Tribolium castaneum: one gene and its partners. The protein of the gene in region 1 purifies or fractionates together with the protein of each later gene. This does not show direct contact. Links are inferred from orthologs where the notes say so. Each region holds a gene or a part of one and is shown in the gene's direction. Other genes may lie near its edges.

Evidence for each region.
Region 2: the proteins of Polr2H (region 1) and Wdr92 purify together in Homo sapiens (affinity purification with mass spectrometry; 3 studies listed by BioGRID and IntAct, with this or other methods). This does not show direct contact. The link is inferred for Tribolium castaneum from reciprocal best matches to the Homo sapiens genes POLR2H and DNAAF10.
Region 3: the proteins of Polr2H (region 1) and Polr3I purify together in Homo sapiens (affinity purification with mass spectrometry; 3 studies listed by BioGRID and IntAct, with this or other methods). This does not show direct contact. The link is inferred for Tribolium castaneum from reciprocal best matches to the Homo sapiens genes POLR2H and CRCP.

The regions. Positions count from the first base shown.
Region 1 is NC_087396.1:10,329,396-10,340,823, reverse strand, and holds the start of Polr2H (DNA-directed RNA polymerases I, II, and III subunit RPABC3), read left to right. Parts: upstream 1-5,267; 5' UTR 5,268-5,330; coding exon 5,331-5,403; intron 5,404-11,428. Other genes in the region: Epp (ecdysteroid-phosphate phosphatase), read right to left, coding at 1-189, 249-427, 4,129-4,224, 4,453-4,648, 4,695-4,935, 4,988-5,100. UniProt on the Homo sapiens protein: DNA-dependent RNA polymerase catalyzes the transcription of DNA into RNA using the four ribonucleoside triphosphates as substrates.
Region 2 is NC_087396.1:21,501,396-21,512,258, reverse strand, and holds Wdr92 (dynein axonemal assembly factor 10), read left to right. Parts: upstream 1-5,996; coding exon 5,997-6,280; intron 6,281-6,322; coding exon 6,323-6,453; intron 6,454-6,497; coding exon 6,498-6,948; intron 6,949-6,992; coding exon 6,993-7,200; 3' UTR 7,201-7,230; downstream 7,231-10,863. Other genes in the region: wdb (serine/threonine-protein phosphatase 2A 56 kDa regulatory subunit epsilon isoform), read right to left, coding at 1,182-1,320; JNK1/MAPK8-associated membrane protein, read left to right, coding at 2,533-2,759, 2,803-3,015, 3,065-3,234, 3,285-3,571; Mocs2B (molybdopterin synthase catalytic subunit), read right to left, coding at 3,609-3,719, 3,766-3,983, 4,416-4,673, 4,724-4,905, 4,957-5,201; Mocs2A (molybdopterin synthase sulfur carrier subunit), read right to left, coding at 5,211-5,468; elm (calcineurin B homologous protein 1), read left to right, coding at 7,372-7,438, 7,482-7,748, 7,796-8,034; Sec23 (protein transport protein Sec23A), read right to left, coding at 8,133-8,222, 8,355-8,372, 8,432-8,980, 9,036-9,236, 9,287-9,498, 9,703-9,845, 9,893-10,716, 10,765-10,863. UniProt on the Homo sapiens protein: Key assembly factor specifically required for the stability of axonemal dynein heavy chains in cytoplasm.
Region 3 is NC_087399.1:3,366,802-3,374,058, forward strand, and holds Polr3I (DNA-directed RNA polymerase III subunit RPC9), read left to right. Parts: upstream 1-1,574; 5' UTR 1,575-1,675; coding exon 1,676-1,683; intron 1,684-1,735; coding exon 1,736-1,847; intron 1,848-1,904; coding exon 1,905-2,057; intron 2,058-2,102; coding exon 2,103-2,228; 3' UTR 2,229-2,324; downstream 2,325-7,257. Other genes in the region: ATP synthase mitochondrial F1 complex assembly factor 1, read right to left, coding at 738-1,574; DENR (density-regulated protein homolog), read right to left, coding at 2,326-2,370, 2,427-2,566, 2,616-2,877, 2,924-3,019; cell cycle checkpoint protein RAD17, read left to right, coding at 3,327-3,344, 3,404-3,643, 3,689-3,975, 4,024-4,331, 4,380-4,818, 4,868-4,958; Wbp2 (WW domain-binding protein 2), read left to right, coding at 5,158-5,213, 5,262-5,436, 5,485-5,644, 6,907-7,209. UniProt on the Homo sapiens protein: DNA-dependent RNA polymerase catalyzes the transcription of DNA into RNA using the four ribonucleoside triphosphates as substrates.

The DNA.
Region 1 (11,428 bases):
CCACGCATCGGACTCTGCCGTCCGTTCCGTGTAGCTCTCTGGCAAGAGTCCCGTCAGTCCCGTCAACCAGGAAGTGCCCTCGACCCAACCGTCGGGCGAATTGGCCAAGGCTTCGCTGCTTATGTAGACGTAATCGCCCGTGCGAAGATCCAATTCGTCACACTCGGTTGGTTGGTAGGGGTGAATCACCTGGAGTTTGATGATAAATTAAATTTAGTTGGAAGGATGAGCACAGGATGATTTCTTACTTTGTGGACTTGTTTACCGTTTACGCGGGGATCGCGGGAGTAGAGACGCAACTCCCAGCCGGCGGAGTCGCTAGGGTCGAGCTCGTCCACGAGGGATTTGAGGTGGGTGTAGTGGGTGCTGGGGAATTGGTACGCCAACGTCAAATGGAGCGATTTTACGTGGGGTTCAAGACTTATAGCTGCAAGAGTTCACGTGGGTTTAAAACACAATAATGAAATAGTCACATTTATAGACACTTTAATGTTTGTCAAGTAGCATCCATCCACAGATTATTAGCTATGTAAAGAAGAAAATATAAACACATATAAACAAAAGATACGAAAAGTGTGGGCACTATCTTGAGAAACACAGGACTTTGCTCTCTTTATTTGTTTAATGCTTGTATCTAATTGTTTTTGTAGTTATAGTCGCAAAGAAATAATCCCAGGAGTTAATTTATTTATTAAAAAAAATATTATCTGGGTAGCTGGTACGTAATTATTTGATTATCTTTTAAGACATAAACACAATAATTGCGAAATCCTGTTCGAAAAACCGTAGTCATACGGCCTTGATGTTTTTTTTAATCAAAATCTGTCTTTTAGACGGTCTTACAAATTAAGCGAAAGATTGAGCTTCCAATTTGTTATTTTCGGTACGTAAACGAGTCGTTTTTCCTTGTTTCGATCGATTTCGGGTAACATGCGAGGAAAATGTAATTACATAATGTAAAATACCCATTGTTTAAATCTTGCACTGAAAAGTTGTTACAAAAATCTGAAAAATTATCAGCCCGCGCTATGAATTAATTCAGGTTGCGACATTCGATTTAGATTATTTTTTAATTAGAAGTTAAAAGATTTCGTTAAATTATGTAATAAATATGGCAAACAGGCCCAAATCTATGATTATGATTAATGCCCTATTTCAGTTTCTTCGCTCATTGCTGTTACGCACGGCTGAATACTGAACGTTTATTTTTTTTAATTGATAATCTATTTTCTTATTTAAAACACCCAGCAGTGTGAACAAATCCAATTTTAAAAAACGCGCGTTTTTTTAAGTGTCCATGTCAACATTAATAACCCCAGAAACGAGAAGTATAACTTTTTAATGATTTTTTATTATAATGACAATCAATTCCATGACAACGAAAGTGTACCAATAAAAAAATAACCTAAAGTATTCGTGGATTTAAAACACTTCCTCTGTCGCGCGTGTTTTAAAGACCTCAGTATGCACTATAAAAACGCCAACGTCGCATTTTCTCTCAAAATTATCTATAATAAATTATTCATGCACTTCAAAAAAATAATAGATAACGTAATTTGCTCTTTCAATCAGAGATCTAATCATTAATAAATAATAACAATTTTACAATTTATCAATCTTATAAAAAATAATTTGGTAAAATGCGACGTTGACTTTTTTATAGTTTTGAAACAGCTTGCTTATACAGCGTTGGGTAAAAGTATGGAACTAAGCGTTTTGTGCCTAAATTATGTGCCTTACGAAGAAAACAATTAGTACATCAGCAAGTACCATAAAAATGTGATCATTTTTAAAATGGCACCCCACCACGGCGATTTTTTTGGTAAAAAACTATGGTCAAGAAATTACTTCAAATTCAATAATATTGTAATTAAACCAGTGGCTCTCGGAAAATAAATTTTATTTAAGTTGCATTCCGATCTCGATGCGAAGGTTTTTCAAACTTGGCCGAACGCAACTTTAATAACTTAAAAAAAAAACACGGGTTCAAAAACAAAATTATTGAATTAGAAGTAATTTTTAAAGCATAATCTTTTACCAAAAAAATGTCCGTAGTACGGTGCCATTTGAAAAAACATTGTTTTTTAAATAACTGGAAAACTGATTTAAAAAAAAAAAAAAAAGTCTAGGGGTCCAGCCCCCCCCTCCAACTTTTATTTGTTTTTTTTGTAAATACAATAAAAGACTAATGAACAAAAGTTTTTAAAAAATAACATTAACATTTATTAATAAATTAATAAATAAACTATTACCTGTGCTATTACTTAATAAAATACAATAAAATAAAATGAAATGTAAAACAAGAAAATTTTATTTTATGTTTAGTTCTTTTTACGTGCAGAAATTTTTATTACTTAAACAACTGTAATTAAACATTCCCTGTTGTATTATGATGATAACAACACCTATATCCAAAAATGCACAAAATATAGGGTGTTTTATTTAAAAACATATAAGACTGCATTATAAAATTTTTTGGATAAAAATTTTTGGGGCTTCATTTTTTGCAAATTTATTTAAATATTTTAACATACCGATAGTAAAAGTTTCATTCAATAGCTTAACCTTCACATGTCTAAAAATTTTTGGAAGCCCCCCCACCCCAAAAAAAAATTATTTCAGGATCCGCCACTAATCGCAAAGGAGGTAATGCCATTTAAAATTTATAGAAATTGTTTTTATTATTATAAAGGGGGTCGGTGCAACAACTTTCAAAACTACACTAAAAGAAGTAAAAGGTGCCTCCTGTAAATAAAAATTGACCTATTTATATCTAAATTTTTTTCTTTTTTTCTGAGATCTTCTACGTGGCTCGTTGATAAAAAATAATCCTGGATTTAAGAGTATTTAAGTATTTAAGAGTACGCGTTGATTTTTCGTGTAATTATTAGCTTATGATACACAGCAAAAATATTTTTATAAGATTCACCTTGCATGTAACATTAAAATTTATCTTTTGTTTTATGATGATGAATTAAAGAAAAAACGCAAAAAGTGTCTTCTATGTGTTTATTGTTTCGTACTACGTATCTTTCTTATTTCTTATCGAGAATCTTGTTAAGATGATGCAAGAAATCCAAAAATCAAGTTCTAATCGTTTTGTTTCAGCTTATTTTTAACGAAAACCCGCCTTATTATTTCAATGAATTCGTTAACTCATTTCTTTTTTCCTTTACTATTTTTTTACCGTAACTGAAAGTATAATTTATGAAAACACAGATTAAATTGAAAATTAGTATCAAAATAGAAAATAATAATAATTAATTATCAAACTTTATTGATGTATTTTCCTTAAATTTCTGTTGCTTTTCGTACATAATACAGTACATATTAAAAGAGATCAGATCCATCGTCAAAGTATAATGTATATGTTTTTTAAAAATGTTTTTGTAGATTTTTGCTAACAAAGTAGTTTTTTGGAGAAAAATTGCTAAGAACATAATGAGGCCAATTTCACAATTACTACTAAGATGAAATTTTAAGCAGATTCACCTTGTCCGCATAAGGAAAATATAAAAGTATTTGCTTTAAATCAAGATTAATCACTAGCAAGTTTGTCTAAAATTCTTGAATTGAAAACATACTCGTAATGACAATGCACAATAATCGTACTTACTTTTGGTCTAATCACAGGTTTATTCCATAAATGGAAAAAATATAAGACACTTTTTCCAAAGGTTTTATCGGTAAGGACTGGTAAATATTTTGCCACCGCCTGACGGACTTATAAAGCTCTTATAAAACCAAGGAATAAACAAACACATTCCGCAACATATTTTTCAATATCGGTCATTAACTACTGTCACATTTTATCAAATGTGCAATAAAAGGTGAACTTTCCTGCAGATGACTTTTACTTTGTATAAAGACTCAAACCACTAATGGTGGCTGTATTTCTCTTTCAGACACTTCAAAAACAAAAGACAAAAGGTAACTAATTCACATGTTAGGATAATGATAGGTAAGAGAATATAAAACTGTTAGTAAACCAGCAACTTCAGTAAAAGGATAAATAAATGTTAGTAACAAAAGGAAAAGCAAAGTAAAAATTCAAACTTTTAATAGAAAATAAATACAAAAAAATGATAATTATCTAGAGGAAACTACACTAAACTACAATTTGCTTACATCTACTTCCCCGAGGAATGCAACGAGCAGTTGTTGTGGTACACCACGGAAAACAGGCTGTTAGAGCATCGAAATGTTCGTATGTGTCACTAATAACTGCAAATAACCACCACCTTTAGCCAGATTGTCATGCTAGTATTAAGAACAACTACAAGTAATTTGATTACCATGCAAGCATGTGTCGTTATCAATTTATTTACAATGTTGAGAAAACATGATTAGTAATAATAAGGACCAATCATTATCTAAATATTTTTCTGGTAATCAAAAACCAACAAAGTTACAAACATGCCCATCTACTGGTTTATAGAAAAATCGACTTACTAGCATTTGAAACTTCTTTAACATATTGCATGGCAATCCTTTTTAAATAATCAGCGTGCTCCTCCGCCACAAAAAACCCCATAAAATTTGGAGAAGTATACGTTTCTAGTTTTAGGGGCTCGTTCAACATAGCGCCCTGCCTTTCCATTACGGACTTTAGGCTTTGCGCCAGATGTAGGGCGTCTTCATCAGGCGCCTGTTACACATCATTAAACGAATTCAAAATTTATCAAATGAAATACCTTAAAAAACGAAACTAGCGTAATGTGCGGCGTGAAATTGTGGGCCCCGTTCCAGGCGCATTCCCTGTGCGACTTCTCCCAGAAGGTCTGTAACTGTTCCAGGAAAGGTCCCGTGGGACACGCATATAAAATGTACTCCCTTGGAGAGTTATCGTCCAGCAATGGGTCATTTACGTGGGCCAGTAACCAGTCGGAGGCCAACTGCACGCCCCTGTTACCAGTGGCAGCTAAGGCCTTTTCGCTGTGTGTAATTTCAAGTTACCCGAAAGTTTATTATCATTTTGTTTACTCACGCTCTGTGTTTGGGGAACCCCATCTGGAGGAGGATTTGTAGCGGGGTCAGGTGCTGTTTGGATATTTTTGTAGGTGTGGGGTTCCTCCTAGGGGGTAGTGTTGCCATTTTCATTTAATAAATTATTAATTTCAACTAGGTTAAAGTTTGGTGTTGACACTTCTAGTGGACCTTTGACATTTAAACAGTGACGTTTTTGTTTTGGTTTTGTTTGGGGAATTGGCCTTTCAGATGGCGGCACTGGTTGGAACACTGTCAAGTGTTGATGTCTGTCAAAATTTGCCCATTTTCATAAGAAAGTATTAAAGTGTGTTAATTTTTTATTATTTACACGTTATTCGACGATGGCAGGTGTCCTGTTTGAAGATATATTCAACGTGAAAGATATTGATCCTGAGGGAAAGAAATTTGATCGAGGTAAGTGGCTTTTATCGTCTGTTTGTTTGGATGTGTGACCGGCGTTTTTGAGGTTATGTTTTAACGTTTCGTAAAATTGCTCGAAATTGTGTTAAATTTTGAATGTATTTAAAGTTTACATCTTGTCTCATTTACCTCTGAATTTGGAAAGCGTGTGTATGTGGTTATTAATACGATAATACCGTCCTACTCTAAATATTGGTTATACCCCCCCACCTGTGTCCTAGTTGTGGCATCGATTGGTCTTTTTTAATGCATTAAGAATAAAACCAATAAAAACAGGCAGATAGAATAGATTTTTTTTGGTTAGAATTAATTACTTGAAGGACTTATATTAATAGAATTATGCAAAATTAGTCTTACAAAATTTTACTTTTATACTAATAATTTTTTAACGTATTAATTTTTGTTTAATACTTGTGTGGTTTGTAGGTGGTGTGTATGGGTGACATGGGCCGGCCCCCATTTTTGTTAAAACTGTTCGCTGTTTGAATCATTTGTGAAGACTGATGAATTACATGAATTAATTGTAATACAAAAAGCAATAAAATACATATTAAGAAACACGTAGGGGTTTAGAGCATTCTAGCTGGGATAATAAATGGATATATTAATTACACTAGTTTACAATTTTTTTTCTTTTACTAAGAAATCATTTCTACTAGGTAATTTTGTTTTCTACTTACTCACTGATAACAAAAATATACAGGCTATTTGGCAACACAGTATTAAAAAAACATTTAGGGTGTATCAAAATTGGCGAATTCCGAGTTCTGAGCACTGTAGAGAATTGCTTTAGTAGTCCAAACATCGAAAAGAGTTATTAATAATACGGGAGCAAAAACAAAAACTTAAAGTTCGAGAACTTTAAAAGCGTTTTCGCATGAGTGTTATTAAATTTTTTTTTTTGGAATATTTGAACTTAAATGAAAACACGTTGCTATGGGAAAAGCGTTTTAAAATAGTGTTTAAAATCTAGGATTCAGATATTAAAAAGAAGGCTTCAAATGTTACCAACAAAAAAATATTCGGGGCTGCCTCACAAAGATACATTGGTTTGAAGATTACTCTTTGAACTGCGTTTTTTTTAATTCAGCCTATATGTTTCAGTGTTTATTCTTATTTGTGGTGACGATGATTGTGAAGAATAATAACTGTGAACGATTTCTCAAAAAACTAGCTTTATTATTTTATATTTATATTTATTTTTTTATATTATTTTGGAGTTTTTAAAATCTTAATTTTTTTAATTTGCCGTTTTGTTTTTAAGAAAAATTACAAAAATTTAAATTTTTTACTCTAAAATGAAGCTGATTTTTTGAAATATTGTTTTACATTATTATCTTCCACAATCATCTACATCATAAGTAATAAAAATGAAAATAATGAAAAATTTTTAGCCTTCATTTGAAGAAAACGCAATTCAAAGTGAGCTGACGTGCACCTTCAAACCACTGTATCCTTGTGGGGAAGTTCCGAATCTTTATTTTGTTTTTACATTTAGTCTAGTGAAGTGATTCTTTACAACGCTCTGACCTCGGAATTTGTCAATTTTGAAACATCCTGTATGTTACATTTTTCTATCACATCTAGTTTTTTTTTAATGTTCACTAAAAGTTTTGAAAATTGGTTTCTGGTGTCTAATTTAGCATCCGTTGTTTCTGTGATGAACTAATTGTTAAACATTTTATTTGCTTTAAAATATCATTAAGTGAATGTATTAGACTTACCGATACGCATTGGTTTCATCTATTGGCAAAAAACGTTGTAAACTAGTGTTATTAGGAACTGAAATGAATAAAGAGAAGAAATACAAAGTAAAAAATTAAACCGACGTTTAGAAATATTACACTTCGAATTTTCCAAGTTAATACATTTTATTAAGTACTCCTACACATTTCAAAATGATAAAAATGCGATTTATTTTTGTTTCTATCATATTGAAATTAAATTGTTAAAAAGAAAAAGAAAATCAGTTGTTCCAGTAAAAATTAGTTAAAAATATTACAGGTAATAACACTGTAACAAAAAGTGAAAATTTTTGTTTTTATTCTGTATTATTACTATTATTAGTGTTTATTGAAAGCATAGGTCTTTTTGAATAAATTTTTGGTCACAATTTATTTTTAGTGTCGGTCTGCGAAAAAAAAGTGGGGGTTGACAATTTTTGATTTTACTCAAATTTAATAAGATGTTGTGATGTTATCCATGAAAAAGATTAATAATTAGCCACAAAACAACTTGTAACTTGATTAAATGTAACGAAAAGAACACAAATTAGTTATTAATAACAGAAAATTTGGTGGCACAACGCCAGTGGTCCTAAATTATGTTTAAAAAATCTAGTCATACATGCCTGCTTACTGGATGGTTCTAACAGGTGAAAAATGGGGTCTTCACTGTTCAATGTTATAACGAAATATGTCCAATTTTTGTCATTTTGAGAAAAATATAGAAACGTATGCTATAAAGTCCCTCTCTTTCAAATGCAATAATTGTTTTTGCAATAGAGTGGTTTATTTAGATGTTATTAAACAATTTTGTTATAACACCGAAAATTTGTGAACATTTGTTCAGCAGAATAATGAGATAAGTCAGTCAATCGTTTTCTCTCTATAAGTCTACAAATTACTATTAAATGTAAAGTAATATAAAAAACTATAAATTACATCTGACCTTTCATTTTGTGTGTTTTCTATAAATTTAAAGACAGTATTTTTAAAGGAGTGGTTTTTATTAAACAAAAACATTAAAATAGTGGTTCGTTCTAGCTCTTGGGGTTAAAGGTATTTCCATTTAAAAACAACAACTCAAAAAAATGTATATGTTTATATCACTCATAGAGACTACTGTAAAAATTTCATTAATTTATTGACCTCTTCCTGGTGGACGACGTATAAAAAAATAATGGTATATGAAAGAACAAGTTTCATACATAAGACCAGTCGTAAAGCACGAATTTAGTTTTTTTAGCCTTTTTTTGTCGTTTTTATACAAAAATTGTTATTAGGGATTTTTGGGACAGTTGGTAATGTCTCAATTTTGAAAGTGAAAAATTGATTTAAAATTTTTGTTTTATCAAAATTTTGTCAAAAAACAACAAAACAACTAAACTCAAAACTGGTCTAAGTGGATTTATTTCGTTATAGTACTGAACACTAAATAATTTGCTATATTTGAAGAACCGGTTTATAGAAGTCATTAATTTAATTCGCAATTAAATGCGTGATTAACTGATCACATGACCAAATTGAACAAATGTGATTGGTTCATTCGCGTTGTTAACTTTCAACAACGAATTAAATTTTCACAAAGCTTTCTATAAACCGGACCTTAAGGAATTAAAAGTGCCTTGTATGTAATTTGCAGTACTGGTAAAATAAACTTTTGTGTTACACAGTTTAATAAATTCTAGTTATAAATAAGCTATAGGTTATAGCATTTTTTGTCCTTAGTTGTAATTAATGCTTATCATTTACAATGATATAAAATACTTGTACGTTCGCAGAATGGAAAGGTGTGATATTTATTAAGTTTTAGATAGTGATGTTTAGAAATGACGGAAAGATTTAGAACAAGAGATAGTAAGAAAAGTGTAATAGAGGAAACGCAAAATCTAGTGTAGCAATGTTCTTTTATTCTTTTAAAATTATGGGAAATAAGTAATGAAATTTTAAAAATTGACCTGACACACAATGGTGAACTGGTTCATGGTATGGAAACTTGTATGGAAAACATGTTATTCTTGTAAAACGTTATTTGAATAAAACATGACAATATTCACGGAAATGCTGAACAATTAATTCCCGTAAAGATGTTAAATTAGAGAATTGTATTTTTTGTTAAGACTACCTGTTGGTAAACATAAAATAGGTTCTACATCTGTTAGGCTCAGCTAAATACACAAACAACATATTTATGTATGCATTCTATTTTTTATAACGGAAAATAATATAATTATGAGTTGCTGATCCGTTGTAACACATTTTAACTAAAAACACGTACAAACGTGGCTTTGAAACGCGTGAATAAAAAGTCGTCATTTATTTTAACGATTTTTCTAAATTGGTTGGTTATAAACCTATTAAGGAACTTCAGATAAAAATGTGGGCACATTTTTAAATTTGTTTGAATTAGTTTGGTGCTCATTTACGTTTGTGGTTAAATGTTAAATGTATTTATATTGATTGTTCAATATGTAACCAAGTTCAGGTTTTCACGGACCTGTCATCATTCTTTAATTGTCTGATGGGGGCCGGGATTAATGCAATTTTGAAGTGATAATTTTTACAATACTTTTTTTGGATTTAAGTGACACTTTTCTAAGGAGAAGGTTTCCGTCCTATGGAAATTTAATGACCACTCAAATTCAAATTTGGATCAATTGATAGCTCTCGTGATAAGGAACAATTCGTATCATTGCGCCAACCTGTAACTTTTGAAATAAAGGCGGAATAAAAATTAAAAAATTATTTGATCAACATTTTGAAACGTGGGACTTTGGGTAACGCGATAACATTATTTTCGTTGTAAATTCAGGTATTCTTGGTAAAAATTACGAAATTGATGTCGTTCTTCCTTTGACAAAAAAATGTAAAATCCCATTTAGCTTCATGAAATGTACTGAAATGGACATGTGCGATTTCTTTATCTTGAACTCTATTTGTCATCTCGAAAAGATTCCTTATTAGGTTCTCAGTTTCTTTCTGTGTCCGTTGTGTCGGTAAATATAGCATGAGATGAATGAGGAGGCCGCTTATCTGTATCACAAAGGCAACATGGAGGTAACTGAGAACATGTTGAAACCGGACGTTTTCCTGTTTTGTCGTGAGATGGTGAAAATCGGGTGTAGGGGTGAACGGTGACCTAGACCCGGTAACCTTGACCGTCACCACAGATACAGCTGGATCGATCGTATGTTTTACGACGACGCGCATGTCCTTCGTTCGTTCTCTCCTGCTTTGAAAACCGCGACCTGCATCTCCCCGTTCCTGCTGCTGCTGCTGTACTCAGAAATGAGAAGCAGCCATGCACCGCCTTCACTCCCAGACCCCACTAATGAACATTGTATTATGAGGATCGCCATGTCAATAACAGAATCAACTTGCTTTGCTATCAATGAAATGAAAGAGGTCGTTATGAAAGAAGTCATTTATTTGCACTATTATTACTGCAATTCTTTATTAGGAATTACGGACAAAAATAAACATCTCTGATTGCTGAATATCATCAAGGACTTATTTTAAGAATCAGGATTGCTGCACATTTATCTACTCAAAGCAAATTCTTGATAGCTACACCAGTCCACCCACTAGGTTACATTCTGAGGATGACACTAATTTACAACATCAACATTTTTAACTAGACACACCTAGATGCATCGTAGAATAATTCGCCCTAAGTTTGATACTGAAGTCGAAAAAAATTGGAACGTCAAGTTTTTTAAATACTACCTATTTATTAGAAATTATCAGTATTTGATAATTTTTGCAAAATCGAAAGTGTCACAGACCGCTTTTTCTTTGTACTATCCATGTTAGTGTAAGTCTTGATGGAAACGTTCACCATGTTTATCGCTTTTAAGCTTCGTAGGATAATTTTACCACAAACATTGTAAAAGTTGTTTGGGCTCACTTTACATTCATTTTAGGACATTTTAAGGCAAACAATTTTTTAACAACTTTCCAGTACAGCAGTCTTTTCAACAAATCTAATAAATATATTTAAAAATTGATTCTCCTTTATTTTCTAATTTCTTAATAGTATATTAAAAAACAAGTTTCATATGTCTAGTCTTAAGGCACGAATTGCTTCCCTATAAAGATACATGGTTTAAAGATCACTCTTTGAACTGCGGTTTTTCCAAATGCAGACTAAAAGTTTCAGTGTTTATTCTTCTTTACGGTGAAGATGATTGTGGAGAATAATAATGTAAAATTTTTCAAAAAAAAGCATTATACGAGATTCGAATTAGAGTCATTCTGGACCGATCTGCTTACCTCCTGAAACTTAATTTTTACCAAGT
Region 2 (10,863 bases), about 11 Mb from region 1:
AGAAACACGAGATATTATATCATAGATAAGATATACAGATATGTAATTTATTTTAACAACAATTATACTTAAGTATGTGTCTTCTATAGAGTTTTACCTCTTTTAAGTCTTTGAACTTTCCAAATAAAACTATAAATCAAGTAAAAATTAATTAACTATAATATTAACAGGAATCCAGTAAGCTTTATACTTGGCCAGGCTCAGAGTTTTAGGTGAATATCAAAAAGTTTAATTTCAAGTTTTATTATTTTTCTGTCAAAATGTTTGCATTCTATGAATTTTCATCATGTCATAAAAAACTATTTAAACAAATCTATCTTAAAATTTTGACTTTTTTGTTTAATTTTACTATTTGTTGCCCATCAACCAAAATTGAAATTATACACGACATGCCGATTTGACACATTTGGCCTTGACTGCAGGCCACTTTAAAATGTAGATGTAAAATGTAGGCTTTTAGAATTATTGCATTTATTCGCTTTTTAAAATCAGTTTTGGACGTTCAAATTTTCGCTCTTTTGAACTACAATACGCCACAATTACCGTAAAAATTAGCACAACTGGGCAGAAGAAGTGAATTATTCCAAATGCAATCTAATTTCAATATAATGCAATTACACAATTATTTTTGTTTTATAAAAAAACAGTTATATTTTAATTAGTGAATTATATTTACTACCAGTAGAACTAAAAAAAAAACACAAAAACACGCTCGTGTCGCACAATTTCGCGAAAAATTTATGAATAATTTTGTCAAAATCAATATTGGCAATGACATTTTTTGCGTATTGTCAAGTATCAACTTTTGTTTTCCATAGCACACTACAAGTGGCATTTAAACGGCAAAACTGCCTGATTTCTTCACAGAAAAACCGAATTATTAGTTTATTTTCGTCTACTTCTATGAAATTACCGTCAATTTGCGATGAATTGAAGCAAAATTGTCAATTGAAGCAAGAAATCAATAAAAATAAAATGACAGTTCCGTATATACGTTCCTGACCTCGCTTTATTTTGACAAGTGACATTTATTGGTAAACTTTTGTTTTCCACGTCCGGCCACAAAGCCCGGCCTTTGATGCCACAATGTCAGTTGGCAGCCCCTTTCGGGGCGGCCAAGGGAGCCCCCGTGGATCGATGCCGGCGGTCAGTCGCGACCTTGCCCTTGGGCCCCCGCCTACCTTTGAGCAGCGGCAGCGGCTGCAGCTCCACGTCCTGCGAGTTCCTGTACCTGGAGCTGCCTTGCGACTTTTTCGTCTTCTTCTTGAGCGAGCGCTTGGCGAAGGGATCGATCCGATCGACGAACGCCGTGGTCGACATGCTGGCTACTCGATCTGGCTCGGTTTACGCGCGCGACATTTCACCTGGACGTCTACGTCAAACGGCACCAGCCCCCTTCGAACGCATCCTCCAATGACAAGGTGCACGCCCAAAGCCCGGTCGAGGGAACGCAAGCCGAGTCGCCGATCTGGGGCCGCCTCGCGCACCACAACCACAAACAGTTAGCAGGAATCGGCGGAAAGACGCGGAAAATCGAACAACTGCCAAGCGAGTCCAGTATTTTCACCCGCCATCAGCTGGTTGCTTTGACACAAAATACTCGCGTTCAGCCGATCCATGCGCGGTGCGAACACACCAACATCGCGAACGCCGCCCAAAAGACTAGGTTTTGCACAAAGGGGCCACCAAACACCGGGGGTTTAAGCGCTATTGACGGGTTTTTACGCGATTTTTGCACGAACCGATGCCGTAAGTACCTAGGGCTGAAAATAGATGGGGGGTACTGCGCGCACCAAAACACAACTGGTTTTCACAACCAATTCACTCCGACTCGCACCAAACCCAGCCTAGGGCACGCAAAATTCACGCAATGAATTATACTATAGCCAAAACAACCCCCGGGACCTTATTTTCATTAATTTTACGCTAGTCAGATCGTCAATTGACTCGCCAGTAGTCCGACGCGACCAATCATGATCGAGTATTCGTGCCACCCGACCAATCACACGCCACTTCAGACGTCCATCTTATCGAAAATGCCGTTTAATTCAAACTTTGAAAAAATCAAAACACAATTAAATCAAACAAACTTTATTAATTCATCCACGTGTAAAAAACGATACATTTTTGCAGCTCAATGAAACAAACGCCTCAATAAATCACACCTGATCAACCAAATCTAAGGCATGTGTCGTATTTAACAGTTTTAACAACAAATCTACCTTATGACACAAAAAAATACCAATTTACCACATTTTTAAACAAATAAATCCAAACTTGTAATTTTAATGAGTCAAGAAGAGAATGAAAAAATCACAGTGGACCAACCAAACATTGGTCACCCATCAACAGATCGGCACGAAACTAACACAACTGCACCAAATAATTAAATCAGCCAAATTTAATTAACCAAACCCTAAAAATGTGCCATTGGCGCGCTTGTTATCGCATTGATAAATAAATGCCCCACTGGCCGGCTGTAATCTCCTGTCAAGTCCGCCTTAACCTTACATTCCGCGATGCCTCTTTAAGATGCTTCCGTGTCCTGGCTGGTACTGCGGCCGCCAGTACCTCCCCAATGGCAGTCTCAGCGAGTGCGGGTCGTGCCCCCGGGGCTTCCGGCGCAACGACACTACTTTTATTTGCGAGCCGTGCACCGACAGCCCCACGTTCTACGACTGGCTTTATTTGGGGTTTATGGTGCTCCTGGTCCAGATTCTGCACTGGTTTTTCATCGACATGGTGTCGATGCGACGAAGGTGAGCCCCCTATTGCCCGTCACACCTTCACTGTTCGTTGTAGCTTCAAAAAAGACGTCCTAATTTTACACTTGACTGCGCTGGTGGAAGTGGTCATTTCGGGGCTCTTGTCGGTGCTTTTCACGCACCCGTTCGGCGAGTTCCAGGTGCGGAACTGCAGAGTGCGCAGCTTGGCCGATTGGTACACTTTGTTGCATAATCCGGCCCCGGATTATGAGAAGAGGGTGCATTGTACCCAGGAGGCTGTGTATCCCTTGTAGGGCTACTAATTGATTATACTACTTTATTGAGTGTTTTTGTTTTAGGTATACGCTAGTTTTTATTTTTTATGCCCTGACTTTGATTGTTATGCTTTTGATAAGGCCATGGGTTTGCCGGAAATACCTTCCAAGGCAGAGCAAAATGTCGATTTATGCCGCCATGTACTATATACCGATTTTGGTGGTGGTCCATGCCCTAATTGGGGGACTTCTTTGTACGTAATGATTGCGCCAAAAATCACACTTTTGATTGGTTTTGTTCCAGATTATGCGTTCCCAATTTTGGTCGTTATTTTGTCAGTTATTTCGTGTGCTTATCACTTTGCCCTCAAAATCAACCAATCGATTCCCTCACTCATCATAACAACAGTTGTAGACCCGAGAAATGTGGTAATCTTAGTGGGCCATTGGTGTTTACACGCCTATGGTTTAATTTCAATAACTCAGCTTAGTGACCCGACTTTTCACTCATTGTTGCTACTGTTGGTCCCACTGCCGGCTTTTTTTTACATTTTCACGGCCAGGTTTACCGACCCGACAATATTTACGTAATTTATTTTTTAATAATAATAATAAACTAAAAACAGATTTATTTTTTCTCCTCCTGAACCTTCCGCTCCAAATCGCTAATTAGCGAATCGATTTCCTCAACTGAGAAAACCTTCTTCTTCACAAATCTATTGTTTAAGTGGCTTTTGTCCTAAAAATTTCACTAAAAAGGGAGGGAAATCTCTCAAAAAGCTTACCCAAAAATTGATATATTCGGGCGAAATCGTTTCAAGGAACAATATCCGGTCTTCTAGTTTCTTCAAACGGGTGTAGATATTTTTCGGGGTTGGGGTGGTCAAACTGAGTTGGATTTCCAGGTTTTGGAGGCGCTCCTCAATGCCGTTTTGGGGGATGTATTTGGTCAGGTAGTCCGAATTTGTTTGGTCGCGGTGGTAAGTGTTCAAAACCCGACTTACTGCAAAAAAATTAGTCTGAAATACTTGTTTTTCGAAAATCGTCCGAAAAGTAGCACTTTTCCCCGACATTTTTTGCTAAATTTATAGAGGGTTAGTCTGTTAAAAATATATTTCTCGTGTTGACCGTGCAGTTTCTTTGCTCTTTTTTTTCAGTCAATTTTTACTCGGCGCCATGGCCTCCTTGATGTATTATTTTTAACGAAGTTGTCTGCATACATCAAGGAGGTCATGCTCGGCACATTTGTGTCCTGTCCGTAAAGTCTTAATTTTTTCGTTAATTTTTTTATTTTCAGATAAAAATGTGTTCTCTAAACATTAATGAAAAATGTCTGGTGCCAAATAGAATAACCCTGTGCAGTTGTATACTTTTAGCAGACTTGTAAAAATTGGAATAAAAATCGTAAAATTGTGATTTTTTAAGGGCCACGAACCTTGCAAATGGCCATTGGAGTCTTTGCGTTTTTGCAAAACCGCATCGACTCGGGCGCAAGTGAACTCTGAACTTCGATTACTTGTGCAAAACTCTCTCACATTGCTTATGTTGATTTCGTTTCGCTTCATCTCCATAAAATTCTCGATTCGTTTGCTCAAGTCCGCGTTTGAGGCCTTGATTTGAATCAAATGGGGCGAAACGTTGGGAATTTCGACTTTGGGCTCGATTTCGAGCTTGAATTTTTTCGGTTTGGGGGCTATAAATGAGAGCCAATCAATTTTAGACTTTATTTACTTGACCACCCACATTCTTTATTTTCCTTCCACTGTGGAGGAGTTTCAGTTTCAGCGTAAATCTCCTTTTTCCAAATAGGCACACTCTCTTTAACCTTGTTGATGCACCAGTCGGTGGCTTGCAGCGCCTCGGTACGGTGGGGGGACGCGATTGCAATTACAATGCTAGCCTCCTTGACCCCCACAACCCCCAGTCTGTTAAACAAAAAAAAATCAAAATTTGGCCCCAATTTAAATTTTTCAAACCTGTGATAGATTGCGATATTTTCGACTTGAGGCCACTTGGCCCTGATCTCCCCGCACACTTTTTCGAGACACTTCAAAGCCATGGCTTCGTACGCCTCGTACTCCAATTTAAGGACGGTTTTTTCCCCGAAACTGTCTCTGGTGGTCCCCATAAAAACCGAGACTGCGCCACATTTCGGCGAGGCGACTAGATCAGTCAACGCCTCAACACTTAGCTTGTCTTCGGTGAATTTCAAAAAATTCATTTTGGGGCCCTAACCGCCACTCAGAGGTGGGATTATTGCTACTTCGTCGCCCTGTTTTAACACAATTTCGACACTTTCCACGTCGCAAAACTCCTCATTGAGGGAGAGAATAATGTTTTGGGCAATTTCGGCCAAAAAATACGTGCCGACGAGTGTTTCTAAAAGCTTTTTGTAGGAGATGGGGGACGGCAGGTCAAGTTCGGCGGATTTTTGGCCCACGATTTCTCTCGATTTAGCGAAAAACAACACTTTGACGGTCACTAACATATCATAGTGTTGTTGCGCTTACATAATCACCGAATTGAAGCAAAATAATTACTTTTATCACTACTCTGTTTATATTTGAAACGACATATTTAGAGCGCAAGTTGTCAAATTTTTAACCTCACTTTCTTACGAATAAAATGCAATTAAAAATCTTTTTTTCGAATGCTTTGGAAGCTGTTTCCTTTTTTCCTGACAAGAATGCTCTAAACCTAATTTGCTGGACAAATTAGTTAATAATTTGACTAATTAGAGCAATCCTTAAATGTATTGCTAATTGTTTTTTTACAGCCGTAAAAAAAGGTCCCAATGGCTGTTTGTCCGAACATGATTTTTTACAGTCGAAGGCCCTAACGAAGGGCTTAATTTCCTGCAAAAATAAAGAACATTGCAGGATATAACGGGGGTGAAAAAAAAAAACAAAATAATTAAAAACGTAACGAGAACAGCTTGTTTTATTTAAACTTGGGCAATTATTGCCCCCGAAAATGCGCTTTGCTATGACAACAATTGTTTGATCAATCAAACGTTATGGAGTCGCTCCAAAGGCCCCAAATAATCTGCCACGTGCAGCAAGCCCTGAACTACACCGTCCACGACGTCAAGTGGATCCCCTGTTCCGCGAAATTCGTCTCAATCGGGGGCAAATCAAACGGGGCTGGAATTATCGAGACCTACTCAATCAGTGGTGATGGGATCGAAAAAGTGGCCGAATTCGGCAAGAAAGACCACTTTAAATGCGGCACGTTTCACGCCTCGAGTTTAAGAGACCGCCACCTTGCGACTGGCGACTTCAGCGGGCGGTTACAAGTCTGGTAAGTCGTCCAAAAGTTGGCCAAAATTTTTAAGTCTCGTAGGGATTTGGAGGAGAATTTAATCCCGATTTATAAGACGGAGAAGCACCGCGGGGTCATTAACGCCATTGATGGAGTTGCGGGGGTTGCCAGTGGGTGCGGGGCCCCCGAAATAGCCACCGGATCTAAAGACGGTACTGTAATTTTTTATTGAAAGTCATTGCTCGAACATTTTTAGGGGCTGTCATGGTGTGGGACATTCGGCAAAAAGACACCCCCGTGGCCAAGTTCTGCCAAAGCGAGGGCTCCCAAGGCCGCGATTGTTGGAGCGTAGCTTTCGGAAACTCGTACAATAACGAAGAACGAGTCGTAGCAGCGGGTTACGATAACGGCGATTTGAAAATCTACGACCTCCGGAACATGTCGGTAAAATGGTCCAAATGCCTCAAAAACGGAATCGTTTCGCTTCAATTCGACCGCAAAGACATTCCCATGAACAAATTGGTTGCCACAACTCTGGAGTCGAAAATTTTCTGTTTCGATGTGCGCACCCATCACCCCACTAAAGGGTACGCCCAAGTGGTCGAAAAGGCGCACAATTCGACCATCTGGTGCGCCCAACATTTGCCCCAAAACCGGGAGATTTTCATGACTACGGGGGGCACCGGATCGCTCTGTTTGTGGAAATAGTGAGTGTGTCAATTGTTACGACTCAAACCAACGGTCTTTGTAGCAATTATCCGGACCGGAGGGTGGAAAAGGACGCTGATGGGCTGGAATATGGGGTGGCAGGGGAGTTGCTTCTGCTGCAAAACAGCACTTTGAGCGACCAGCCCATCACGAGCTTTGACTGGTGCCCCGAGAAGGCCGGGCTGTCGGTGTGCTCAGCCTTCGACCAAACCATCAGAGTCTTAATTACGACAAAACTAAATTTGTATTAATTTTAATGAATAAAATGACCCTAACCTCAATCACTTGACTTTGACAATCAGTCAACCACGTGACACAAATCCGGCCGTTTGATTGGCCAGTTGTGACAACAACTGTCATTACAAGTGTCAAAGTGACATTTCAATAATTCAAAGTTCAGTTTTTGGTGAAAGTTCGTAAAAATGGGTAACCGCTCGTCTCTGCTGCTCCGTGAGGAGGAAATCGCCCAAATCCAGGAGGAAACAGGATGTGAGTACGCCCATGTTTCGTTTCCTTGTAACCGCAAATGTAGTCACCCCCAACCAAATCGAGCGTCTCTACTCCCGTTTCACGTCCCTGGACCGTGGGGATTGTGGCACTTTGAGCCGCGACGATTTCCTCCGAATTCCCGAGCTCGCAATCAACCCTTTGGGCGAGAGAATCGTCAATTCGTTTTTCCAGGAGGAAGGCTTGAACGATAGGGTGAATTTCAGGCAGTTTATGCGCGTTTTGGCCCACTTTAGACCCATCAAGAAGAACAAAGAGAATAAACTGAACTCGAGGGAGGAGAAGCTGAGATGTAAGCGAATCAAAATCAAGGGGTGACGCTTTATTGAGTTTTTCCAGTCGCTTTCAAAATGTACGACCTTGATAACGACGATATGATCTCAAAGGAGGAGCTTTTGGCGATCTTGCACATGATGGTGGGGGCCAACATCAGCGAGGAACAGTTGACCAGTATTGCAGAGCGCACTATCGTGGAGGCTGATGAAGACAGAGACCAAATGATTTCATTCGAGGAGTTTTGTAATGCGTTACAAAGGACGGATGTCGCCCAAAAAATGAGCATTCGCTTCCTGAACTAGGCGTGTAATGTATGTGTAATATATTTATTATAATTGTAACACTTAACCAGAGATATTTTCTTGTTACTATTGTACTTAATAAATAAGAATAAAGTAGTTTAAGCCGTTGAAGAGACCGCCAGTTTCTTCAAATGATCCATAAACACTTGCAACGAGACGTCGTCGGTCAAAACCGGGGCCCCGCCGTCCTGTAACACAAAATTTTGTTACACGTCTGAAGCAAGCGAAGCGAGTGAAAGCGATAAAACCACCCGATTAGTAACAAATACTACTACAAAAATTACACCTTTAACCCCACAAAAAATAAAAAAAATAAATACCGCACTCGCAGGTACCGCCTAAAATCCACCAAACACAGAATTAAAACACAAACAAAACACACAAAAGTGGTACTCACCCCTCCGTACGCGTACATATTGTTATGTGTTTGGCTCGGGTTGACTTTCGATAGTAAAAACCTGGCTTGGGAGCCCCCTTGTTCCGTGTCGATGTACCTAGGCATGGGGAACCTCGTCTGGAGGATTTCCTGGGCGTCATCCACCGGTGCTTGTAACAATTGCCGGAAATTCTCGTACTCTGGCATGTCCTGGTACTTGAGGTTCCTCCATTGGGCGATTGTCTCACCGTGGAAAATCAAAATTTGGAAAAATGTGTCCATGAGAAGGATTCGATCGGGTTGAATGGAACTAGTGTCGAGGAGGACGGGTTCAGGGGGGCCGTTGAAACTATAACTGTATAAAATCGGCTGGATCATAATGAGACTTTGGGTGAGGTCCTCCCGCATCAGCATGTGGCGGTAGAACGAGGTCTCGTCTGGGGAGTTGTTGAAAACTTGGAGGAATTGGGAGCGGCGCAAATGGTACATGAATTGGGGATAGAGACTGAAGTTTTCACTCAAACGGAAACTGTTAGGGTCGTCTTTGTTGTATTCGCCGAATTTTTGGCACTAGAAATAATAAAGTTCGAAATTTTGATTAATTAATTTTTAACTGTTGTATTACCAGACGAATTAACATACGGTCGACCCATCGCAACACATCGGGGCTTTCGTCGGTTTCAGCTCGATAAACGGCCATGCGGGCCATTAAAACAGCCGCCGCTTCCTGGTCAAAGCCGGCGCTGATGTGGTGGATGTTGGCCGTGGCATCGGCCCAATTTCGGGCGATGGTTGTAACGCGAATGCGCCTCTGGCCGCTCGAATGCTAAGAAAAAAATTGTTAATAATTTCCTTTCCTTCAATTGAATCATTTACTTGATATTGTGTTATGAACTGAATGCATCCACGGCCTCCTTGCGGTATGGGGGCCGAATGTTGATTGACCACTTCGAAAAATAGGGCAATTGTTGCACTCGGCGTCAAAGTGCACATTTTCCATTGGACTGTGTTACCCATTCCGATTTCAGTGTCCGAAACGAGGGGACTTTTCACATTGAGGGACACACAAGAGCCAATACCTCCTTGCACTAGAAAATAAATAAATCAACTTTCTAATAAATTCGAGAAAATTGCAAACAAAAGTAGAAATAGGCAAAATAAAAAAATATAATTAAAAAACTATTGACGCCAATCGATCATTTTACATTTTACATCTAATAGTTTTGCGTAATTATGAAAATAAAAAAATTTAAAAATTTGCGATTGTTTTTTGTCGATTTCCTGCACTTTACCTTTGAGTTCCCTTGAACACTTGACTTCCAGTGTGGCATTGAAGGCCATTTTCAGCTCATTCTTGGCATCTCTTGCAAAAACCCGCTGAAACGTTTGTTTAAAAAGCGACGAATTGAACGAGTCCCCCATAACCATATGCCCCCTAAAACCCCAAAAATCATTACAAAAAACACCCCCCAAAAAAATTACCCCGTCGAATTGCAACACTGCTTCATCTCCATCAGCCCCGTTTGGTCCAAAGCACACGAATAAATATCAACACAATGCCCATTAGTGGCAGCCCTCATAGCCAACCCCTCATAATGCTTGATCGCCTTCTTCATATACTTGGCGTTATCTTTCTGAATATCATGATGCGACCTGATTGGTTGTTTCAAATCGTCGTTAACCACCTGACCCGGCCCTTGCGAGCAGGGCCCCCCTAGGAACATCATAACCCGGGCCCCCGTATTGGCATACGTGCACTCAAGGAGCCCTATTGCTATGGACAAGGCCGCCCCTGTTGATCTCAAGGGCCGCTTGCCTTGCCCCACAGGCCAGGGGTCTCTTTGCAGCTCCCCGATCAAATCAGTCAGACTCATATCGCACTTTGAGATGGGTTGGAGGAACCGACTGGCGGGCGGGATGGGGGCTTGCGGGGCCCCTCGCTGGGGCTGCGCCACGGCCACTTTCCCAATCCCGAGCATCTCCTGGATTTGTTTAGCTGTCAGGTCTTTGGTCCCCCGAAAAACGTACGATTTGCTACAGCCCTCAGTGCCCAGTTCGTGAACTTGGACCATTTTCCCGAATGTGATGAGCCCTATGAGGGCCGTCGGCGGGAGAAGGCTCAAAGACATCTGAAGCGAGTCTTTAAGGGCCCCCAGCTCCTCCTCGTCCATGCACGTATCGACGACTAGGAGGTAGATGGGGGGCAGGCATTGGGCGCGTGTTATTGTGTACTCAATGGTGGAGAACATTGGCATGAGTTCGGCCGGTTGGTGTTGCTCGGAAATGGCCGCATATTGAGGCGGAAACTTTAATTTTTTATGTAAAAAAATATTTAATTTAAATTATCTTTTTACCGGATTCCGTTGGAAACAGAAATTGCAAACCCACAGCTTTGCCCGGTAGTCGACTTGACACAGCGGGTTCAGAATCGCACGACAGTTGTTACGGGTACA
Region 3 (7,257 bases), on another chromosome or scaffold:
CAGCTGTATTCGTGTCTCAAGGAAAATCCCTCGCCCACGGCGCACATTATGGGGACCATTTATTTTAATTTAGTGCAAATCCCCTGCTTGGAGGATACGCAGCACGGGAAAGTGTTCAGGAAGCCGAAAGAGAGGTTCTAAGCTCAATCAAGTGCCTAATTTCAATAAATTATTTTAAGTAAAATGGCGTTTTATTTGGATTTGAATTTGGGTGCGTTGGTACGCCTGTCAGAAAATACAGACCCGTAGTTCGTGAACTGTACCACCTTACTGTTATTTTCGATTTTTTAACGTAACTCAAGTTAATATAACGCACTTTTGTGTTGGAAAATAGTGAAATAAGTGATAAAAATTTAAAAAAATCAAGTTATGATAAATTTTGGATTTGGTAGGTTGGTACGTAAATAGTGAAAAGCGGTAATAAAATATAAAAATCGGCAAAATTTCTATCATTTGGGCAATTTCGCACAATCGCATTTTATACAGGACCTTTGAGTTATCATAATATTTGAAATTGGTCCAATTTTCGCCCAACAAAAAATTAGGTTATGTCATATTTTCGCAGTAAAATTCAAGAAAAAACGCTCAATTTCATACTCATAGTGCCATTTGCTATGTTATGATCGACTTTATGTATCAACATTGGGGACAAGAAAATAATTGGGTGAAATAAAACTCAAAAAGTAAGGTTATGTCACTCAAACTTTATTTACAATTAGGAATTAAATAATACATATTTACAAAGACAAAGTCTCGATTTGTTTGATCAAGTCCATGTGTTTGAACTCGTCGGGGCGCTTGGTGAACCGCTCCATCAGTTCCAAGTGTGCTTCTGTGGGCCTTACGTAATACAATTGCAACTGATTTGCGAGACACTGGGCCTCCTTCAAATCAATAACATTCTTGTCGTACTCTCCTCGCATCAAGACGATTTTTTTCTCGTCCTTTAGTTCGGTGTAGTGCGTCATTGTGAGGCACTCGGGGGCGTTCTCCTTGTGCACCTGATAGTACAAAAGGGGGGTAAAGTGGACGCAGTTTCGCTCAAACTGCGACATTATAAACTCGTAACCCTCTTTGCGAGGCAAGGCGAAGAGAAACGTAGGGTATTGGCGCCCCCTTGCCTCCAGTTCGTTGTAATCTTCCACAGGGACAACCGCCGCAATGTAGTTCTTCTGTATGTGGTACTGGTGCCAAATCTCCTTAATTTCCTCCGGGGTTTTATCCTTAATTAAGTCAAGTTTCATGACTTTGTCTAAGGGGGCCTCCGAGGCCTCCACAGAACCGAGCGGTTTTTTCGGGTTTAATAGTTGCGAGAACTTGCCTTCAGTGATCGTTTCGGGCTTCTTTTTCGGGGCTTTGGCCTTCTTGAGTTCGTCCATTCGGGAGAGGAACTCCTGGGGGGAGGTTTTTTGTAGTTTGGCGATTTTGTCCGCGTATTTCTCGTAGTAGGCATTTTTGGAAAGCTCGTCCAAGGCCTTTTCGCACCGCGATTGGGTCGTCATCAGACCTCTTACGAATTTACAGGAGTATTTTGAAAAATATCGCAAAAAAGCTAGGTTAGGAAGCCTGGCCATACTTGTGACAAGTTTAGGGTTTTTTGGATTTGTCACCAATTTGTGGTTCAAAAATTATAAAAATAAAGCAATTTGCACTCTTAATTTTATTATTAAATGCGATGGAAATGTAAGACTAAGTTGCTACGTTTGAGTAACGTATTATTAAGGCGTGTTTTCAGTGTTAATGCAAACAGCGCGACTTTGAGTAATTTCGAGGTTATGAAACACCTACAACGGATTAAGGACAGCCGGAAAAAACACAAGGGGCAATTAGCGACGATTACGTATGAGGTGATTAGATTAAGTGGCCGTAAATGGGCCGACTTTCATTCATCAATTTTTTCGTAGACTTTGCGTTACTTGGAAAATACTCCTTGTGCCCAACAAAGCCCACAGTCAATTACTGAGTGTTTGAAGGACTTGGAGCCGTTTAATTTGAACAAAAATGAGAAATTAATGCTGATTAATTCGCCCCCTACGACGGCTTTAGAGATTCAATTGGTTGGTCTTACGCAAAATTTGACTATTTCTAAGTGTGTTTTCTAGATGATTGAAGAAAGTGAAGAAAGGCTCACGGAAGAACAAGTTGAGCAAATTTTACAGATCGTGCTTCAGCACTTCCCCCACATCCAAAAAAGCCAAGAAAACGAAACAACAGAGGAGCAGGAATAATTTTGTGATTGTATTAGGATAGTAAATAATAAAACACTGGCGTGAAAAACGACATAATGTATTGAGAATAAGTATAAATACACGAATTTATGATAAGTTATCGCTTTTGGTCACCCAAATCCTCAATCAAGTCCTCATCAATCTGCAACAAAAACAAGTGCCCCTATAACTAGTGACTTTTTTCGGTCAGTGTGGTACCTCTGGCCATTTTTCGGGAATCACATCAAACAAATCGTCCTTGACGTCCCCCTGGATCACAATTTCGTCCTCACCTGTGACTGAAGACCCACACGCAAACCTGGTCCCGAAAAATTTCGCCGCAACTTTCAGATCAATATCTACAAAAACGCGTCAAACAAGACACTCAGGGCCCCCTAACCCCCCTACCAAACCCACTAAGCCCCGTAACCACGGTAACCGACTTCTTCTTGCCGCGGGGGGCCCTCGACACACACACCTGCTTCGGCCCGTCCTCCTTCTTCTTCGTCTTGATCATGCCTTTACCCCCACGTTTCTGACGCTTTTTTTCCTCTTCAGCGCCACCTCCCTCGCCCGCCTCGTCCCCGATTTTCACTTTTTCGAACTCATCGGGCAAGTTACGCTCGAGCCATTGTTTGCATTTGTCATACTCGGGGTAATACTCGCAATACTGGGGCAAGAATTAGTTCGGAAGGTCTGAAGGGGCGACAACTAACCTCAATCGGCATCGAACAGTTGCCACAGTAGATCACTTGCAAGGGGTACGTCACCCCCGTTCTGGGGCCCATCTGGAGCTTCTCTTCCACCGACATTATGGCCAAAAAATGAAATTTTTGAGAAACAAACCTAACCCCAAAATAGACACGGTCGTGTAGATCTTGCGTTGGCGACACTGATTCACTAAGCACTGACACTATTTTTTCAAAAAATTTATTATTTTGGGCGATTAATTGAATACGGCTCAAGAAATTGGCCAACCACCAATTTTGTAACCGAAAATTGCGCCCAAATATTTTTTTAAACGTGTTTTAATTGTTTAAAATCGAAATTGGTCACGTTCTGGCACCACTGACTGTCAATCCGAATGTCAACAAGTTTCAAACAATCTCGAATAAAATCATGAAAAAAACGGGAAATGTGTGTATTTGCACAACTAAAAACGGGCAGACAAGGTAACAGAGTGATAATTTTTGCAGAAATGGTTAGGTTTGTCGCTTGACTTGGAAAACGGGGCCCAGAATGGCCATCCCCCCAAACCTGCAATCCCTTCGAAAAACGGCACTTCGGACCTGTCCCCAGTGCCTAAAAAACGCAGCTTTAACTTTCACCAACGCCTGGCGCCGAAAACGGTGCCCGACTTGGCCGTTCATTCGAAAAAAATCGCCGAAGTCGAGCACTGGTTACAAAACAACGTCTGTGATAATAAAAACAATTCTGTAAGTCATTGCCCTTTTGAATCATCACGTGACGTTGAATTTCAGCCGAATGCGAAATTCTTGTTGATTTCGGGGCCCCCAGGGTCGGGCAAATCAATCACCATTCAGGTTTTGTGCAAAAAATTATCAATTGATATAACTGAATGGGTGAACCCCCTAGACCAGGATTTTGAGGTTTGTCGGGGGGCGAATCAAGTGACCCGGTTCGTTGAGTTTTTGACCGAATCCAAATGGAATTCTTTATTTTCCACAGGCAACAAAAAAGTGATTTTAGTTGAGGAGTTTCCAAACACGTTTTTGAGGAATTGTGACGAGTTTGGGCCAGTTTTAGAGTAATTGAGCTAGTTTTTGGTCCAAATAATTAATTTGGTTGGTTCCAGGGAGTGTTACTACAAGGGGAATTACCCGGTTATTTTCGTGTGTACGGACACTTTCGATAATAAAATTAATCTAAGCGAGAAATTATTTAGTGAGGACGTAAGGGTTAAGTATAAAATTGCGACGATTAGTTTCAACGGTTGCGCCCCAACTTTGATGAAGAGTGCCCTGAAAAGGGCCCAAAACCTCGTGCAGGGGAATCCCGATTTATTTAAAATTCCGTCTCAAAGTACAGTCACTGCCATCATTTCCACAGCCATGGGCGACTTGAAATGCGCCCTAAATCAGTATTATTTTGCCGCCCTTTTAGGTAAAAAATCACCCCCCATCCCCCAACTGTCTCACAAAAAAATTCCAGGAACTTCAGACCTGCCAACGATCCAAACCCAAAAATCGGGCACCAAACGCAAACGTGATTCGTCCACTTCGATTCAAATAATGTCACGTGACGAAAATTTGGGCCTTTTTCACGCCCTTGGCCGCGTTTTGAACCCGAAGTTGGGCGAAAATGGCCGACTTGCGTGCGATTTTGACCGATTGGTCAACGAATTCACAACACAGCCTGGGCTTTTCACAGGGTTTTTGTTCGAAAATTACTTGAAATATTTTGGGGATTTGGTGGATGCCAGTCAAGGCAGTGAGAATTTGAGTTTGGGTCAAACATTTCTAGAAAAGTTGGTCGATCGACATGATATTCTCGACTATGCGATTTGGGTCTCCGTCTTGGGCTTGATGGTACATAATGGGCATAAGGTGTCGCGATGGAACCAAATCAAGGGCCCCACCAAGGTGCAAAAGTGGGTTTTGTGGTCTTTTTTTGGCGTTTTTTGATGGGTTTGTTTGCAGGGTTGTGCCAAATCGCGAGGTTTCAGTGACTGATCTTTATTACTACAACGTGATTAACAATAAGACTAATTCGGGCTTTGTATTGTCGTGATTAATAAATTTGAATTTGGCGCCTTAGTATTGTCTTTTTCTCTCTCTAACTTGTTTTTACCCCTATCTTTTCTCTCTCTCGCCTGGCAGATGACATTTCAAACGTCACGTCAAATGTCACTTGTCAAAATCGGGGAGTTATCGAAAATTTTTCTAGAAAAACAAATAATTTCATTGTGTGAGTACCAAAACCGTGCGAAATGTCTCTAAACACGGCTCATATAAACGGCGGTGTTTTAATACACGCCGGTGAGAGGTAAGCAACTTCTATCCAGACGTTTCGCCCCCTTTAACGCATCGTTAGGATTTTACTGTTCGCGGACGACGTCAGCATCGAATGGTCGGGTCAGGGGGACCCCACATTCAAAGGCACCAAAACCGGCCGCTTCTACCTAACCACCCACCGACTTGTCTTCAACAACAAGAGCGGCAGCGACCCCATGCAAAGTTTCAGTTTCCCGTTTGTAACACTGAGTGAGGTACGTTCGCCCCCCTTTCACTCATCATTTGTAACAAGGGGGCTGTAGGTCGAGATCGAGCAACCCGTCTTTGGCGCCAACTACATCAAGGGCAAAGTCAGGGCGCAGCCCAACGGCAACTGGATTGGCGAGGCCAAGTTCAAATTCACTTTCAAGCGTGGGGGCGCCATCGACTTTGGCCAGGCGATGCTCAAAGCCGCATATTTGGGTGAGTTGTGCAACATTTTGCAACGAAATTTAAACTTTTTCTTTAATTTAATCTCCCAATAAATAAGTAGGCGATGATAAAAACATCACGTGACCGTTGCGTTGCTAAGCAACGTTATTGTTTTTTTTCGTTTCAATCGAGTGACCTTGGCATTTTGTGGTGCCAGTTGTAGGAATTTCAATCAAACAAAAAAAACACCAAACTGGAAATAGAAACGATACTCAACTATTTAATAAAAATTGCAAATTTAATTATAATTGAGTTAAATTGTTTCAATTAGCCGATTTAGGTGGTGTAACAGGTGAAACTACCGGTAAAATGTTTTAAGGCTAGTTTCGTTTCGAATCAGGGCGAAAACACAAGTGTTACACTGTTATTTTTTTATTCAGTTTCATTTAATTAACAAAAATAGGTACAATAGGTGAGGAATTATTATTATTTTATTATTCGGAGTCGTTTTCCACCTTAATTTCTCTAATTTCTGGTGAATCCGCCTCCTGGTTCGCAATCGTGCTGGAAATGCTGATATTTTTGCTGAATTTCTTGTTAGAAATCGTACTCATGTGCGTCTTGAAGTGTTTGTGAATGTTGGACATGATCCAGAATCCGTTCTGATTTCTGAAAATTTTCACGTCTTTGAGACAAATACAGCACGTGATGTAACACTGATTTGAATCTTCGCTTGAAATTTCGGCCCGCATTTTAGACATTTCTCGTGTCACGTAAGCCGACTCCTCATTGGTCAGATTGCGTGAGCAAAAGTTTATTATCCAATTAGAAATGAGCGCTAGAATGTTTTGTTTTTCGCTTTCGAAATCGCGTTGTTCGTCTGTTTTTTGACGTTTCGTCGGTGCTTCACACGTGTCCCCCGTGTGACGTTTTTTCCATGAAAAGCTGCGATAAAATTGTGCCATTTCGAGGAGGATTTTCCGATGACCGGAAAATATCGTAAACAGTTGCGGTTCAGTCGCGAAAATCCCCAAGTATTTTTCATGGAGGACGCGATCGATGACACGTGGGATGATTTCCCGCCCGATTTTCACCAATTCGTCGATGTCTTCACTCTCGAATTTCGACAGCGAGGTTTTGTTGTCGAAACCGGCGAATAATAGCAAATTCTTGACGTGTGTCGGAATTTTCACTGATTTTTCACGTTCGAAACACTCGAGAATATTCTCGTCGGCCATGATTGTAATTACGGTTAATTTCGGGTAATTACGTGTAATTACCCGAGTATTGATCACAAATGTGGCTCTCTCTAGCGACGCGAGGAATGAACAACGACGCCCCTCCCCCGTACGTCCCCCCCAACACCGAATGGTATGCGGCTCCGCCCCCGGCCTACGCCCCCCCGCCGGAGGGTTACTACGGCTGGGTGCCGCCCCGTCACCAATTCCCCGATAATCCGCCAACCGACGGCGTTTACATGACACAAGCTCCGCCCCCGTATCCCGGCTTAAACCCCGCCTACCAACCGGGAGGGTATCCGCCCCCGCAAGGGGGTTACCCACCCCAAGGTGGGTATCCGCCGCAAGGGGGCGCAGCCGGATTTGCCTCACCTGCAGGTAATTATCAAGGACGCTAACTGCCAAATAAATATTGTTTTACGAAAT